Caenorhabditis elegans: one gene and its partner. The protein of the gene in region 2 interacts with the protein of the main gene of each other region in a pairwise test. Each region holds a gene or a part of one and is shown on either strand. Other genes may lie near its edges. The genes, in order: vdac-1 and M162.5.

Region 1 (4,939 bases), on a different chromosome or scaffold from region 2:
CTAGGGGATGCGTTTGCTGCTTCAATGGTTCAGCATTTATTGCAGGTTTGATAGAAAACTCGAACTTGGAGACAATTGTATATTTTAAGAAAAAGCTGGATCAAGCAGACGCTCGTCACGATTATAAGACTGAACTGAAAGGAGAAATTGAACTATTGAAGTCAGCTGCCACCAGTAGAAGACCATCATTCACAATGTCAGAAGCTTCTAAGGAGCTCTTCTTGACACACGCGAACACAGCTGGAAACTCAAGAATTGGATCACGAATTGGCTCTCGTCGTCCTTCATCCACCAACTTGCATCTTTCCTGGCGTAATAATAACATTGAACCACCATACACACCTCTGCCCAACGATGAAAACGTGTAGTTCCATGATCAATATTTACATTTTTTGTCCATGTCACTTTTCCATTCCAAAACAGAAAACGGTTATTCTCTCCTCTTTCCGCGAGAACCCATGGATTGTTTTGTACATATCATTTTTACTATTTTAAGCCACTGATGAAACTCAATAATTTATGTTTGTAAAATTTAGCAGAAAAGTAAATAGCGCATGACATTTCTTTTTTTTCGAAGTTTAGAGAACATAAATCGACATTGAAAAATCAACGGTTGAGGACTAAAAGAATTTTAAGAACGCTATTGATGGGAGAATGGAAGTGATCGGAAGATCTAGTTGGATGGATCGAATTCGAGTCCAAGTCCGAACTTGTGAGCATCATTGGCAGCAAGGTTGAATTGAGTGGAAAGTGTCAGCTTAAGAGCTGGAGACAAGGAGTGTGTGGCAGCAACGGCAACTTGGGAAGAGCTGTTGACCTTGGCGCGGACAGTAAGGTCACGGCTTGGAGCATACTTGGTGGCGAGAGCGTAGTCAGCTCCGTTTCCACCAACCTGAAAATTCACTTTAGTTTTGGTTCTAGGATTTTAAAAAGTTTACCTTCCATCCGAGTTGAGTTCCAACCTCGACGTTGGAGGCAACCTTGTGGTAAAGGGAAGCTCCGAAGTCGGTTGAGTTAATAACGAAAGAGTGGAGGGTGTATTGTGGAGTGGAGTGTCCGAAAGCCAAAGAAGTGGCTGCCAACTTATTCGATGAAGAATCGAAGGTGGCGGCAGCTCCGATGAGCCATCCGTCACGGGAGAAGACTCCGGCAGCGTTGATAACTGGAGCAGAGGTGACTCCAACATCAGCGGTAACCTGTAAATGGCTAATTTGTTTCATTTCACAAAGATGGATTTTTGAAATCTCTATTTCTACATTCAGAAAATCGAACCCTGAAACAATCATGCTTCCAGTCAAGCTTGAGACGAGCTTCGCCAATCTTATCACCCAAAATATGTACAAGACTACTCACTCTAGCAGTTGGGAGAGCCCAGTCGAGCTTCACTTTTCCGCTTCTCTTTCCGGCGTGTGGGGCATAAAGAGAATCGAGAGTGACCTTGAGTCCACGTCCGAATTGCTCATTAACTTCGATAACAGTTCCGAGCTGGTTCTCGGTGTTCCATTTCTCGGTCAAAGTGATTCCTGAAAACGAAACAACATGATTGATATCTCTCACACAATATGTTGTATTTTTGTTGAGCGGTCGCTAGACGTCACGTGGTGTTTTAGAGTACATACAATTGCATCACCTGCGTCACGAGGTTGTCCCCATCTAGCGGGTAGACAATAAGATGTTCAGACGAGCTTACCGTATTGTGGGATCTTGTACTTGACATCGAGATTTCCTCCAAGCTTTCCGGATCCGATATTGTGAGAAGCGGCTGATTTGAACTCAACCTCCTTGTTGTCTCCAGCTCTAGTGGTGGAGTCGATCTTGAGGAATCCAAAGTCTGGAAAAAAATTAATCAGGCGAATAAATGACCTAACACTATTCCTCTCTACAAAGATAAAATTGAAACTTACTGTATCCTTTGTTGAAGAGGTCCTTGGCGGACTTTCCAAGATCAGCGAAGGTTGGTGGGGCCATTTTCTAAACACAAAATATTTTTTGAAACATGCATTCTAGAGTTACACGAGAGAAGGAAAATAGGAAATTTTCGAAAAATGAAGGCTTTGAAAATGTTTGCATTGAGCAGTGCATACGAGAAAAACGGAAAGAAAGAGATAAACCAACTCAATGGCAGCAGTAGGAAGTCGATAAACAATGCGCCAGAAAACACAACATCGCCAAAAAATATATTCAGGGTTTCAGTTAAATGATTTACAATTATCTTATCGGGAAATTCAGAAGCAAACATTTGTAACATAAAACTCCGACGGTATCGAAAACATTGAATGCGATAGAGAAAGGACAGATCACGCCACAACAGCAAATTGAGAGTTCAAAGGCAAGCACATTGGCGCGGCGACCGCCCGTCTCGAGACATAGGACGAAAATGAGAGGCACAGAGACTGGTTACTGCAGCGCGACCGCTCCGCTTCCAAAAGTACTGGATTATTTTGGCAGTTTTTCAAAATTGAATGATGCACTGAGAAGAAAAGATTTGATGCAATGAAAGAAATATTGACTAACGAAACAAAATGAAATTAGCAAGAAATCTCAAATTTAGCGTTAAACCAGGAAATGGTACCGGAAATTGAGCACAAATCCAAATAGTTTCCGCATCACCTGGTTCAGCGAATTCAGTTCACTTCTGTCACTTGCATCTAACCTATTCGAAATGTACCGCTCGGAAGTCTCTAAGCCACAACTGGAAAATCCAAACCTAGTCGATAGAATAATTGTAATTATTCTGCCGAACTATTTCTATGAATATGAATCCGTACTGAAGCACATAACAAAAGAAAACTTCGGGATTATAGAGGTAAGTTGTATATATGAAAATTAAAGAAGAAGAAACTGATTATTTAGAAAACTGTGAAGCATTTTAAAACTGAAGAAGTCATGGAGTGGAAAAGTGCTGATCTTGAATCCCAAGATATCTGGAACTTATCAGACAGGCTAATAGACGGACCATGCATGTTACTATTGTGTCAACGAGCGAATGCTTTTATTGAGATGAAAGAAGTGGCCAAATATCACAATGTGATCGCTAAGAGGTGAGCAAAGACCAACAAACATCCGAAAATACTGAAAAACAATGGAAGAAAAACATTGCGCACAGTTGAAAATAACCGTTACCGTAGTCTCGTTTCGGTACGAAACCTTCACACTTTTGGAGGTTTTTCAAAAAATCTATCCGAAGAGTTTTAAAACTTCACAAGCGTTTAATTCAGAATGAGTTCAAGTGATGGAATATATTATTCAAAAACGACAATTGCCGCCTATCACGATATAATTTTCTTTTTCCCCAAGTGTAAGATTCCATAAAGTTAGAATTTTGACTCTCCCATAAAAATATATTCAGACATTGACGAAAGAGCAATGCTGAAACATGCCAAGGATTATCTCTCAGTAGAAGTATGGCCGAAACTGAGCCAGGGACTGGCTCGCGTAGCAGTTGAGAGACCGGATAATCCAATTGTTTGTTTTCGAATACACCATTTAGTAACATGATTTTTTTGACTCTTTCAGAAATGGCTCGCAGATTATCTACACCAACTACGCCAATAAGTTTATGTTTCTAAAAAATAATATAGTGTAAATACCCATAAACCAATAAAACAATAAATTTTTTAAAAATATGCATTAAAAATTAACTACAAAACTATGCGAAAGAAAGGGCAGTAGAACATATATTACATGTAATCAGATAACACACAGGTAGTGATAAAAACGGCTTTGGTCTCAAAAATATGTTTAAAAAGCAGGAGAATTAGTACTCTTCCTCCATTGCAATTCGTACAAAAAGAGATGCAGATGGGTCCAGAGTATGTTGATATCCGGTATTTAGTTGAATTTGCGAGAAACCTGTACGAAGACTCATAACAGGAATTGAGAATTCTCCAACAAAGTCGTTCGAAGATGTAGAGTCAAAATCCTGCGAAAGTGGAATATAAAATTTAGATCCATAATGTTTCAAAACCTACTTTTACACAGAATCGAATAATTGCTAGCTCTGGGCACGAGAGTGTGAAATAGAAATTATCCCTCCATTCTGGGTTGAATCCATTGTCCTTGATGATTCTTGTTTTTGCTTTTGTTTCATCTCGTGGAATTCCGAAAATCTGAACACTGACGTATGGATCAATGATCTCTTTTCCGGGTTCTGACTTTGGAAGATACTGAGCAGAGAAAAGTCCAATACCAAGCTTCAATTTTGGTTTGGCCATACTTCTTGGATCGACTCCATCGAGAAGGCAACTTGGTTTCAGAACGTAACCGCAATTTCCATTAATTCTGAATAATCCTGCATTCAAATCAAGCTCTTCACCAGCGGTTTGGAAGTTCATAGCAACACTTTGAATTCCACAAAGCCAAGAAACCATTGGATGCATATTTGATGAATCTTGACGTAATCCTTTTGGATAACTCTTCACAAGCCTTTCTGCAGTGTAAGTGAAGATGGGAACTGCAGCTTCAAACATTGTATATACTTTATTTTCCGAGAGCGAAGGACTTCCATCAAATGGATCTGAAAGTTTGCATATTAATCTATTTTTGACGTTTTAAACTAACGTTTGTTGACGTCTTGATAAATATTATGGCTCAATTTTACTGACGGCAAACCAATGAGAGCTGATAATTCAGGTGCAACTGGATGTGGATGTACATGGTGCTTATCCTTATCAGTTGGTGAATCATCTTCATCTGGTTCTTCAATGTCTTCTTCAAGAATAATTTTCTTTCCGCGCAATAGGAATTTTCTTTTCAGCTTATTCGGAGATGATAACGGATGGCGATGTGAATCTTTTGGTGGAATATATAAAGAATCTCCAAGAATTTCTTTGAATAAATCTGCCATAACAGCCTGTTGTACAAATCCGACGTGGTTTTCGAGGGTGAGGATGACAGGATATGGTGATGTTTCAAACGCAGTTCTCTGAAATGAAACATT
Region 2 (9,086 bases):
TTTAGCATTTTTCTACTTGAAATTCGATAACTTCGAGGCCACCTACTATTTTGGAGGATCGTTGTTGGTTTTTGCTGCACTGATCTCAGCTCTAGTCCCGTTCATAGTTTTGTGGAGGGAAAAAGGTATGCACTTCTAATAGTGAGTTTTCTAAAAAGGGTTTTATTTTCAGATTCTGCGGTCAAGAAGCTTGCTGAATAGTGAACATGGAATTTTATGTTGAAATTGTTTAATAAATCTGTATTATATTTTCTATGAACTAATATTGTTTCTCAATTTGGTTATTTTTTATGTTTATGCTTAAGCTCAGGCTTAGGCCTAAGCTGAGGCTTAGACTTAGAAAAACAAATGAATTGGAAGAAACTGTATAGTGCGGAGCGGATTCCGAAAAGTGTCGGCCGCGGCATTGAATGAATAAGCATTTTCGCAAAAATCACTTCTCCAGAACGATAGAAACATTACCATTTTAGGCAAGTGTCAGAGGGAAGGAAGACGGGTGTTATGTTTTCTGAGAAATAAAACAATAAACATAAAAATTCAAAATGAAACATTTCATATCTGGGAAAAATTTACGGCGCGTTGCGTGTCGCGTCGCGGTTCGGTTTTAGTTGTAAAACTAAATTTATTTGTCCGTGTGGAGTACACAAATCTCCCACGTGGAGCAATTTTACGGGCCTCTAAAGTAGTGGAAAAATGCACTGATAGCAATTTCAAATCAAATTTTTTCCAGTTCGAAGTGCTCGTCCACCGCTAAATTTTTTTATAGGGACCTTCCTGAAAGCTGAAATTGAAAAAGTAATAAACTAAATTTCAGAAAAATTAGATTTTTTTCAGATTTTCAATAAATTTAAAAAAAAACGTTTTTCTATTGGTTTTCCAGTTGAAAAACAATGTAAAAAGGTTTCTTTTTCAAATTTTTTCTTGTTAATACAATAGAGTTTATTGTGTGCCAAAATAATAGAAATTAGAATCATGATACATCTATCATTAAAAATAAATGTTATACATACTAGGGCTCCCATGCGATCGCCACAACGGCGCCTCCGCCGACCTCAGCGGTCACCGCGCAGGCCTCACGGCGTCACCCACGCAAACCCCGAACACGTCGGCCGCTTCCAAACAACAGCTTCTTTGCACTACGTTGCGCACACACCAAGGTACTCATTTCACGCTAAGCTGCGGAACCCTGAACGTGTCGGCCGCTATAAATAACTACCTTTTGCACTTCGTTGCACACACACAACGCCGGCGGCGTGAGATCAGCATTTTGGGCCTCACTCAGCTGGGTTGTAATATTTGGCGTATTTTGATTGTTTGTCTCATGTTAGTTTGTCGATTTAAAGCCGATAGGTAACTAAATCCAAACTTCTAGACTTAAACCAAGTACATCAAAAACTATACCTCACCTGTTAAACCTGTTTTTTTTACCGCCACCTACTCAATAATATCAAGAACTACCGACGATTCTTTTTTTTTCTAGTTATACTCTATCACAGCTTTTAAAAGAAATTGTTCGGTCATTGAATGATTATATCATATCACATCATTTTCTGTTGGATAGAATCACGTATCGAGGTCACTTTGGTCGAATTAGCGGAGAATTTTGCTTTCGATTGGAACTTTTACAATTCTAACTGTATTTTTATTTATTATACTTTTTTTTTGTTTGCATTAATCAATAAAGTGTATTTACTGTAGTGTAATGTACTACATATGACGATACATACATTTTAAATAAATTTAAACAACTGCGTATTAAATAAAAAAGTGAGCAAGTAGTGTTGTCTATTTACGTTTTACTTTGTATCTATGTAACAAAAACAGCTATCAAAAAACTTTTCATACTGTAAGAACATTTTATTAAAAGTGGTGTTTTTTATTGCTTTACTAGACTTAAAATTGTTTGAAAACACCGAATTTCATAATGTAACTTTTTGAAAACTTCTCAAAAAGTGACCTAAAAATAGTTAAAACTTGAAATTTGACCGACTTGTCGTTTAACTATGGGCATACAAGCTAATTATCTTGCGGTTCCAACTATTTGGGTACATTTAAGGTCGATGGACAACTAGAATTGGTAAAATTTGATAAATTCTGGTGATCGGCTAAACATGTACCTAAAACAAATGGAAAATGCAAGATAATTAAAATGTATACTCAAAATTTAACGGTGATTTCAAAAAAAGATAGTTTTCAGCCGCTTGACAAGTCGCTCAAATTTCAAGTTTTAACTATTTTTAGGTCATTTTTTGAGCCGCCATAAAAACTTTTTGAAAAGTTTTCAAGAAGTTTCACCATAAAATTTGGTTGTTTCAGGCAATTTCAAATCTAACAAAGCCTTTAACGGAGTAGGAAAAATAAAAAATAAAAAGAGCAAAAAGTGTTGTTAATTTACACCCAAAAATTCTATTGAGAGGAAATTTTGTTTTAATAGATAATTTTGACATCATCTTCTCCACTAAAACTTGATAAAAGATCAATTGAAAACGAGAGATTTTTAAAGATTACGAATCGAACTTCACTTCCATCATCATGTTTTGTTATTTTGATGTCTATTCTTTTCATTCGCTGAACAATAATTGGCTTCCCTCCAACCCTTCCAACAAACTGGACAGTCCTCCTCTTCACAGTGTTCGAAACTTATTTTTCTCACCATTTATACTGTTTTTCTGTTCGGTTTATATACATAATATGTTCAGGTAATACAATGAAAGTGGCGCCGGAGAAGAAGCCACCGATTCCGGTGGTTATTACTGCAGAGCAGATGAGCTCTGAGGCCAAGGAGAATGGATTAGGTAAGACTAGAATCAGGTAAGAAGGTGAGCTAGTGAAAAATTCCAAAACTTTGATTTTCCGACCTATAAAATGGTTGAAAATCCATGTTCATTATTGAAAACATCTTTTAAAAAAACCCACTTTGAATATCTTATAAGCACTAAATTTTCAGTTAGAACACCCAAATATTATATGAAAATTTGAATTTCTCGCCAAAACTTATTTCTCAAAACCTTGAATTTCCCGTCGAAATAATTGTCTCAAAAAATTTAAATTTCCCGCCAAAACTTGTTTCTCAAACAAAATTTGAAGTTCCCGGCAAAATAATTTATTCTCAGAAAATTTTAATTTCCCGCCAAAATAATTTTTCAAAAAAAATTCTCAGAAAATTTGAATTTACCGCCAAAATAATTTATTCTCAGAAAATTTGAATTTCCCGCCAAAATAATTTATTCTCAGAAAATTTGAATTTCCCGCCAAAATAATTTTTTCTCAGAAAATTTAAGTTTCCCGCCCAAAAATGTTTCTTAAGTTAGAAAATTTGAATTTCCCGCCGAAATATTGTTCTCAGAAAATTTTTATTCCACGTCAAAATAATTTTTCAAAAAAAAAATTTCTCAAAAAATTTGAATTTTCCGCCAAAATGTTTTTTTCTCAGAACATTTCAATTTCCCGCCAAAATATTTTTTTCTCAAAAAATTTAAATTTCCCGCCAAAAAAATTTCTAAAAAATTGTCAATTTTCCACCAAAAATGTTTTCTCAAAAAATTTGAATTTTCCGCCAAAATATTGTTCTCAGAAAATTTAAATTTCCCGCCACAAAGCTATAACTTCCAGAACCCTCCTCCTCCAAAATCCGTTACATCGTGCTCATTCTCAGCATGACCTGTCTCTCATTCATGATGTCCAATGTGATCTGCTTCAACTTCACCGTCCTCTGTATGCCAGGCACTGGCGAGTCGTCGGAGCTCACCGGAAACAAGACCCAATACATTGGATACAATAGGCAGGAGAAGACGTGGTTGTTCAGTACAGTGGCTGTAGGTGCCATGTTCGGATTGTTTCCGGTGATCATTGGAATTAGTACATATGGATTGAGAAAGGTGTTTTTTGCCGCGGGCATGTTAACCTCGCTAACTACTTTTTTGATTCCTATTGTGGCACCGATGGATTTCAATTTGTTCCTGTTGATGAGATTTCTGCAGGTACGATTTATTTACAGAGAATGACTACCAGGGCACGTGGAGTCAGAAATTCCCATTTCGCTTTGATCTTCGAAAAATGCGGGAGATCTGATTTCCCAGAGCGTGCTGACGACGTCACAAATTTTCTGGGAAAATACTCCCGCATTCTTTGTAGATCAAACTGTAATGAGACAGCCTGACACCACGTGCCAGGGGTGTGCGGATAAAAGCCGATTTAGCCAAATTCGCAGATCGACAAATTGCCGGAATTAAAATTCCCGGCAAATTGGTAGATTACCGGATTTGTAAATTTCCGGCAAATCGACAAACTGCCGGATTTGTAAATTTCCGGCAAATCGACAAATTGCCGGATTTGTAAATTTCCGGCAAATCGACAAATTGCCGGAATTAAAATTCCCGGCAAATCGACAAATTGCCGGAATTAAAATTCCCGGCAAATTGGTAGATTACCGGATTTGTAAATTTCCGGCAAATCGAAAAATTACCGAATTTGTAAATTTCCGGCAAATCGACAAATTGCCGGAATTAAAATTCCCGGCAAATTGGTAGATTACCGGATTTGTAAATTTCCGGCAAATCGACAAATTGCCGGAATTAAAATTCCCGGCAAATTGGTAGATTACCGGATTTGTAAATTTCCGGCAAATCGACAAATTGCCGGATTTGTAAATTTCCGGCAAATCGACAAATTGCCGGATTTGTAAATTTCCGGCAAATCGACAAATTGCCGGAATTAAAACTCCCGGCAAATCGACAAATTGCCGGAATTAAAATTCCCGGCAAATTGGTAGATTACCGGATTTGTAAATTTCCGGCAAATCGAAAAATTACCGAATTTGTAAATTTCCGGCAAATCGACAAATTGCCGGAATTAAAATTCCCGGCAAATTGGTAGATTACCGGATTTGTAAATTTCCGGCAAATCGACAAATTGCCGGAATTAAAATTCCCGGCAAATTGGTAGATTACCGGATTTGTAAATTTCCGGCAAATCGACAAATTGCCGGATTTGTAAATTTCCGGCAAATCGACAAATTGCCGGATTTGTAAATTTCCGGCAAATCGACAAATTGCCGGAATTAAAATTCCCGGCAAATCGACAAATTGCCGGAATTAAAATTCCCGGCAAATTGGTAGATTACCGGATTTGTAAATTTCCGGCAAATCGAAAAATTACCGAATTTGTAAATTTCCGGCAAATCGACAAATTGCCGGAATTAAAATTCCCGGCAAATTGGTAGATTACCGGATTTGTAAATTTCCGGCAAATCGACAAATTGCCGGAATTAAAATTCCCGGCAAATTGGTAGATTACCGGATTTGTAAATTTCCGGCAAATCGACAAATTGCCGGATTTGTAAATTTCCGGCAAATCGACAAATTGCCGGATTTGTAAATTTCCGGCAAATCGACGAATTGCCGGAATTAAAATTCCCGGCAAATTGGTAGATTACCGGATTTGTAAATTTCCGGCAAATCGACAAATTGCCGGATTTGTAAATTTCCGGCAAATCGACAAATTGCCGGATTTGTAAATTTCCGGCAAATCGACAAATTGCCGGAATTAAAATTCCCGGCAAATTGGTAGATTACCGGATTTGTAAATTTCCGGCAAATCGACAAATTGCCGGATTTGTAAATTTCCGGCAAATCGACAAATTGCCGGATTTGTAAATTTCCGGCAAATCGACGAATTGCCGGAATCGTTTTGTTTGATTCGGCTAACTCGAGCAATATTAGTCGAAATAGCCGTTAGCCGTATTTATAGCAATTCGGAGCAAAGGCGGTCAATCGGTAGTAGTCGATTTTGGGCGATGTTATCCAAAAAGTTCATCAATGAATTTGCTCAATAACAATTTAGAGGGATTTGTAATTATACGGAAACACCTAAAACTGTGCCTTTTTGAATTTTAAAAAAATTTTAAAAAATTTAAAAAAAATACAAAATTTTCCCGTTATCTTTAGATATTTTCAAAGAATTTGCTTACTTTTCAAAATAGATGTAGGAAAAGTCATAGAATGCGTACATTTTTTCCGGCAATTTATCAATTTATCAGGAATTTCAATTCCTTTTTTTCTCAATTCCGGCAATTTGTCGATTTGCCTGAAATTTACAAATCCGGTTTTTGCCAATTTGCCGGAAATTTACAAATCCGGTAATTTGTCGATTTACCGGAAATTTACAAATCCGGTAATCTACCAATTTGCCGGGAATTTTAATTCCGGCAATTTGTCGATTTGCCGGAAATTTACAAATTCGGCAATTTGTCGATTTGCCGGAAATTTACAAATCCGGTAATCTACCAATTTGCCGGGAATTTTAATTCCGGCAATTTGTCGATTTGCAGGAAATTTACAAATCCGGTAATCTACCAATTTGCCGGGAATTTTAATTCCGGCAATTCGTCGATTTGCCTGAAATTTACAAATCCGGTAATCTACCAATTTGCCGGGAATTTTAATTCAGGCAATTTGTTGATTTGCCGGAAATTTACAAATCCGGTAATCTACCAATTTGCCGGGAATTTTACTTCCGGCAATTTGTCGATTTGCCGGAAATTTACAAATTCGGCAATTTGTCGATTTGCCGGAAATTTACAAATCCGGCAATTTGCCGATTTGCCGATTTGCCGAATTGCCGGGAATTTTTTTGCCAAACTGCCTATTTGCCGTTTGCCGGAAAATTGTTTCCCATCGACTCCCTGCTGTATACTGCTACCTTTCAGGGAATGTCCTACGCCGGCTGTATGCCAGCTGTTGGGGCCATCACTTCTTCCTGGGCTTCTCTAACCCAACAGGGATTATTTATTGCTGCACTGACCACATTCGGTCAGCTCTCCTCGATCTTCTCAATGCCCATTGCTGGGGAGCTCTGTGTTTCTCCGTTTGGCTGGAAGTCTGTCTACTTTCTGCATGCCGCAATTTCAATGGTCATTTTTTTGGCATGGTTCGCAGTATTTACAGATTCACCGAGTAAGTTGTTCAACTTTTTATAAAGTCTACACAGTCTACATATGATCTAACTCCAGGCACCAACAAGCTCGTAAAATCAACCGAGCTCCTTGAAATCCAAAAAGGAAAATCCGACGCAGCTGCGAATGGCAAGCAAGAGGCGACACCCTACCTGGAAATCCTCACAACTCCATCTGTCTGGGGTATATGGATTGGTGCCCTGGGAGATCTTATAGCCGTCCAACTGATTCACATCTACTCACCTGTCTACTTACATGATATTGGAGGTTATTCAGTGGAGAAGACCGGCTTTGCAGCCGCCGTACCGGTGTTGTTTCAGTTTTTTATGAAGCTTTTTGCAGGTGGGTATTCAGTCTATTTTGGACCTACTAGCCCAAACTTTAGGCCCTAAGCCTAAGTGTCAAAATTTGAAAGCCTAGGCCGAAAATTCCAAGCCATGCTCCTTGAGCCTCTGCCAGCAGCATAGGGGCCTGGTATGTTGCGATCGGTAACGTGCATCATTGGTTTTAAAACAAAACTTGAGAGCCTAAGCCTAAAATTGTGAATCTTAGGCTTGGCATGACTTGGGCTTAATTGTAGTCTCAGGTGGGGCTTGGCCTAGGGTAGAGATACTTTAAGCCCTTGGCCCTGAAACTGAAAACCGGGCTTTCTGTTCGAATCGGTAATTTCCATCCCTTCAGCCAAAGTCTCTACAACCTCAGTTCCTAAACCAAAACCTTAGCAGGGGTACTTTAAGCTCTAGGCCCTAAGACTAAAAATCGGGACTAAAAATCGGGACCCACAAGCGCCAGGTCTATTTCAGCCCAAGCATTTTAGACCTCGGGTCACAAAACAACACATCAAAGCTTTAGGCCAGATTGCTAAGTCCACGGGAAGTTACTTGAAACTCTAAGTCGCCGGGCCGGCAACCTCCACAATTTCAGGCCACTCCAGTGACCGAATCTCTGGAATATCTGAGACAACAAAGCTCCGGATCTACAATACTATTGCTCTGGGCGCCAGTGCCGTATTTCTAGCTGCTCTGGGTTTTGTAAAAGAAGGCCAGGGGCTGACCGGCTTGACACTCATGACTGTAGCCACCGCAATGTTTGGATTCAACGGTGGAGGTTTTATAAAGGTAATCTACAGAGTTTTGAATGAAAAATTTAAATTTTAAAAGCTTTAAAATTCCAGTGCGCCGCCCTTGTCTCCCGACAGCACAATCATTTTGTCATGGCAAACGTCCAGTTCCTGCTGTGCCTCTCGATGCTTCTCTGTCCAATACTTGTATCATTTTTGCTTCGACACGGAACTATAACTGAATGGAGATTGGTTTTCTTTGTTCACGCCGGAATCCTTGCCGCTTGTAATCTTATATTTTGTCTGTTGGCCACTGCAAAACCGGCTCCCTGGACAGATCGGACGTTGAAGCCATCGGCGTCGAGAAACACACCATTGTATACAATAAAGTATTGATTATAATGTATTCGGAGCATTTTTTATAATCAAAATCAAGGTCAAAATCTTGAGAAGAATTTTCCAGTTTTCCGCAAAAATTGACTGAAAATTTGAATTTCCCGCAAAAAATTGACTGAAAATTTGAATTTCCCGCCAAAAATTGACTGAAAATTTGAACATCCCGCAAAAAAAATTGACTGAAAATTTGAATTTCCCGCAAAAAAATTGACTGAAAATTTGAACTTCCCGCCAAAAAATAGACTGAAAATTTGAATTTCTCGCAAAAAATTGACTGAAAATTTGAATTTCCCGCAAAAACTTTATTTGTTTTTTTTTTAGTTTTTTTTTTTTTTTTTTCAAAAAATTTGAACTTCCACCCAAAATATTTTCGAAGGGTCTCACCACGAGAGGAGCCAGAGATTTTCAAAACATCAAGAAATTTGGTAGTTGTGGACCATTTTGGGTCTAAAAAAGCAAAGTTTTCATATTATTTTACATTCTCCAAATATTCGTTTCTCTGAAAATTTTCAAAAAAACTGTGAACGTACATTTCATTACATGAAAACCAAAAAATAAAATGGCAAAAAATGCATGTCACCCTGTGTTATAAGATGAATTGTGGTGAATACTTAAACCTTTACTATAATCAATTTTTGAAATTCATGACTAGCTTCTTGATCATAGGGAATAAACCAT

The links.
Region 1: the proteins of M162.5 (region 2) and vdac-1 interact in a two-hybrid assay, tested with the Caenorhabditis elegans proteins (one large-scale study listed by BioGRID).

What each region holds. Positions count from the first base shown.
Region 1 is NC_003282.8:7,505,921-7,510,859, forward strand, and holds vdac-1 (putative voltage-dependent anion-selective channel), read right to left. Parts: upstream 1,972-4,939; 5' UTR 1,969-1,971; coding exon 1,905-1,968; intron 1,832-1,904; coding exon 1,691-1,831; intron 1,524-1,690; coding exon 1,354-1,523; intron 1,197-1,353; coding exon 939-1,196; intron 893-938; coding exon 674-892; 3' UTR 501-673; downstream 1-500. Other genes in the region: Putative sodium-dependent excitatory amino acid transporter glt-6, read left to right, coding at 1-45, 90-368; R05G6.5 (Uroporphyrinogen-III synthase), read left to right, coding at 2,663-2,806, 2,854-3,041, 3,219-3,298, 3,350-3,465, 3,517-3,555; plc-4 (Phosphoinositide phospholipase C), read right to left, coding at 3,758-3,922, 3,972-4,516, 4,561-4,924. UniProt on the Caenorhabditis elegans protein: Forms a channel through the cell membrane that allows diffusion of small hydrophilic molecules. Plays a role in maintaining mitochondrial morphology.
Region 2 is NC_003283.11:19,758,352-19,767,437, forward strand, and holds M162.5 (Major facilitator superfamily (MFS) profile domain-containing protein), read left to right. Parts: upstream 1-2,699; 5' UTR 2,700-2,707; coding exon 2,708-2,795; intron 2,796-3,612; coding exon 3,613-3,980; intron 3,981-6,706; coding exon 6,707-6,953; intron 6,954-7,009; coding exon 7,010-7,294; intron 7,295-7,876; coding exon 7,877-8,070; intron 8,071-8,126; coding exon 8,127-8,408; 3' UTR 8,409-8,413; downstream 8,414-9,086. Other genes in the region: W04E12.9 (MFS domain-containing protein), read left to right, coding at 6-125, 173-201.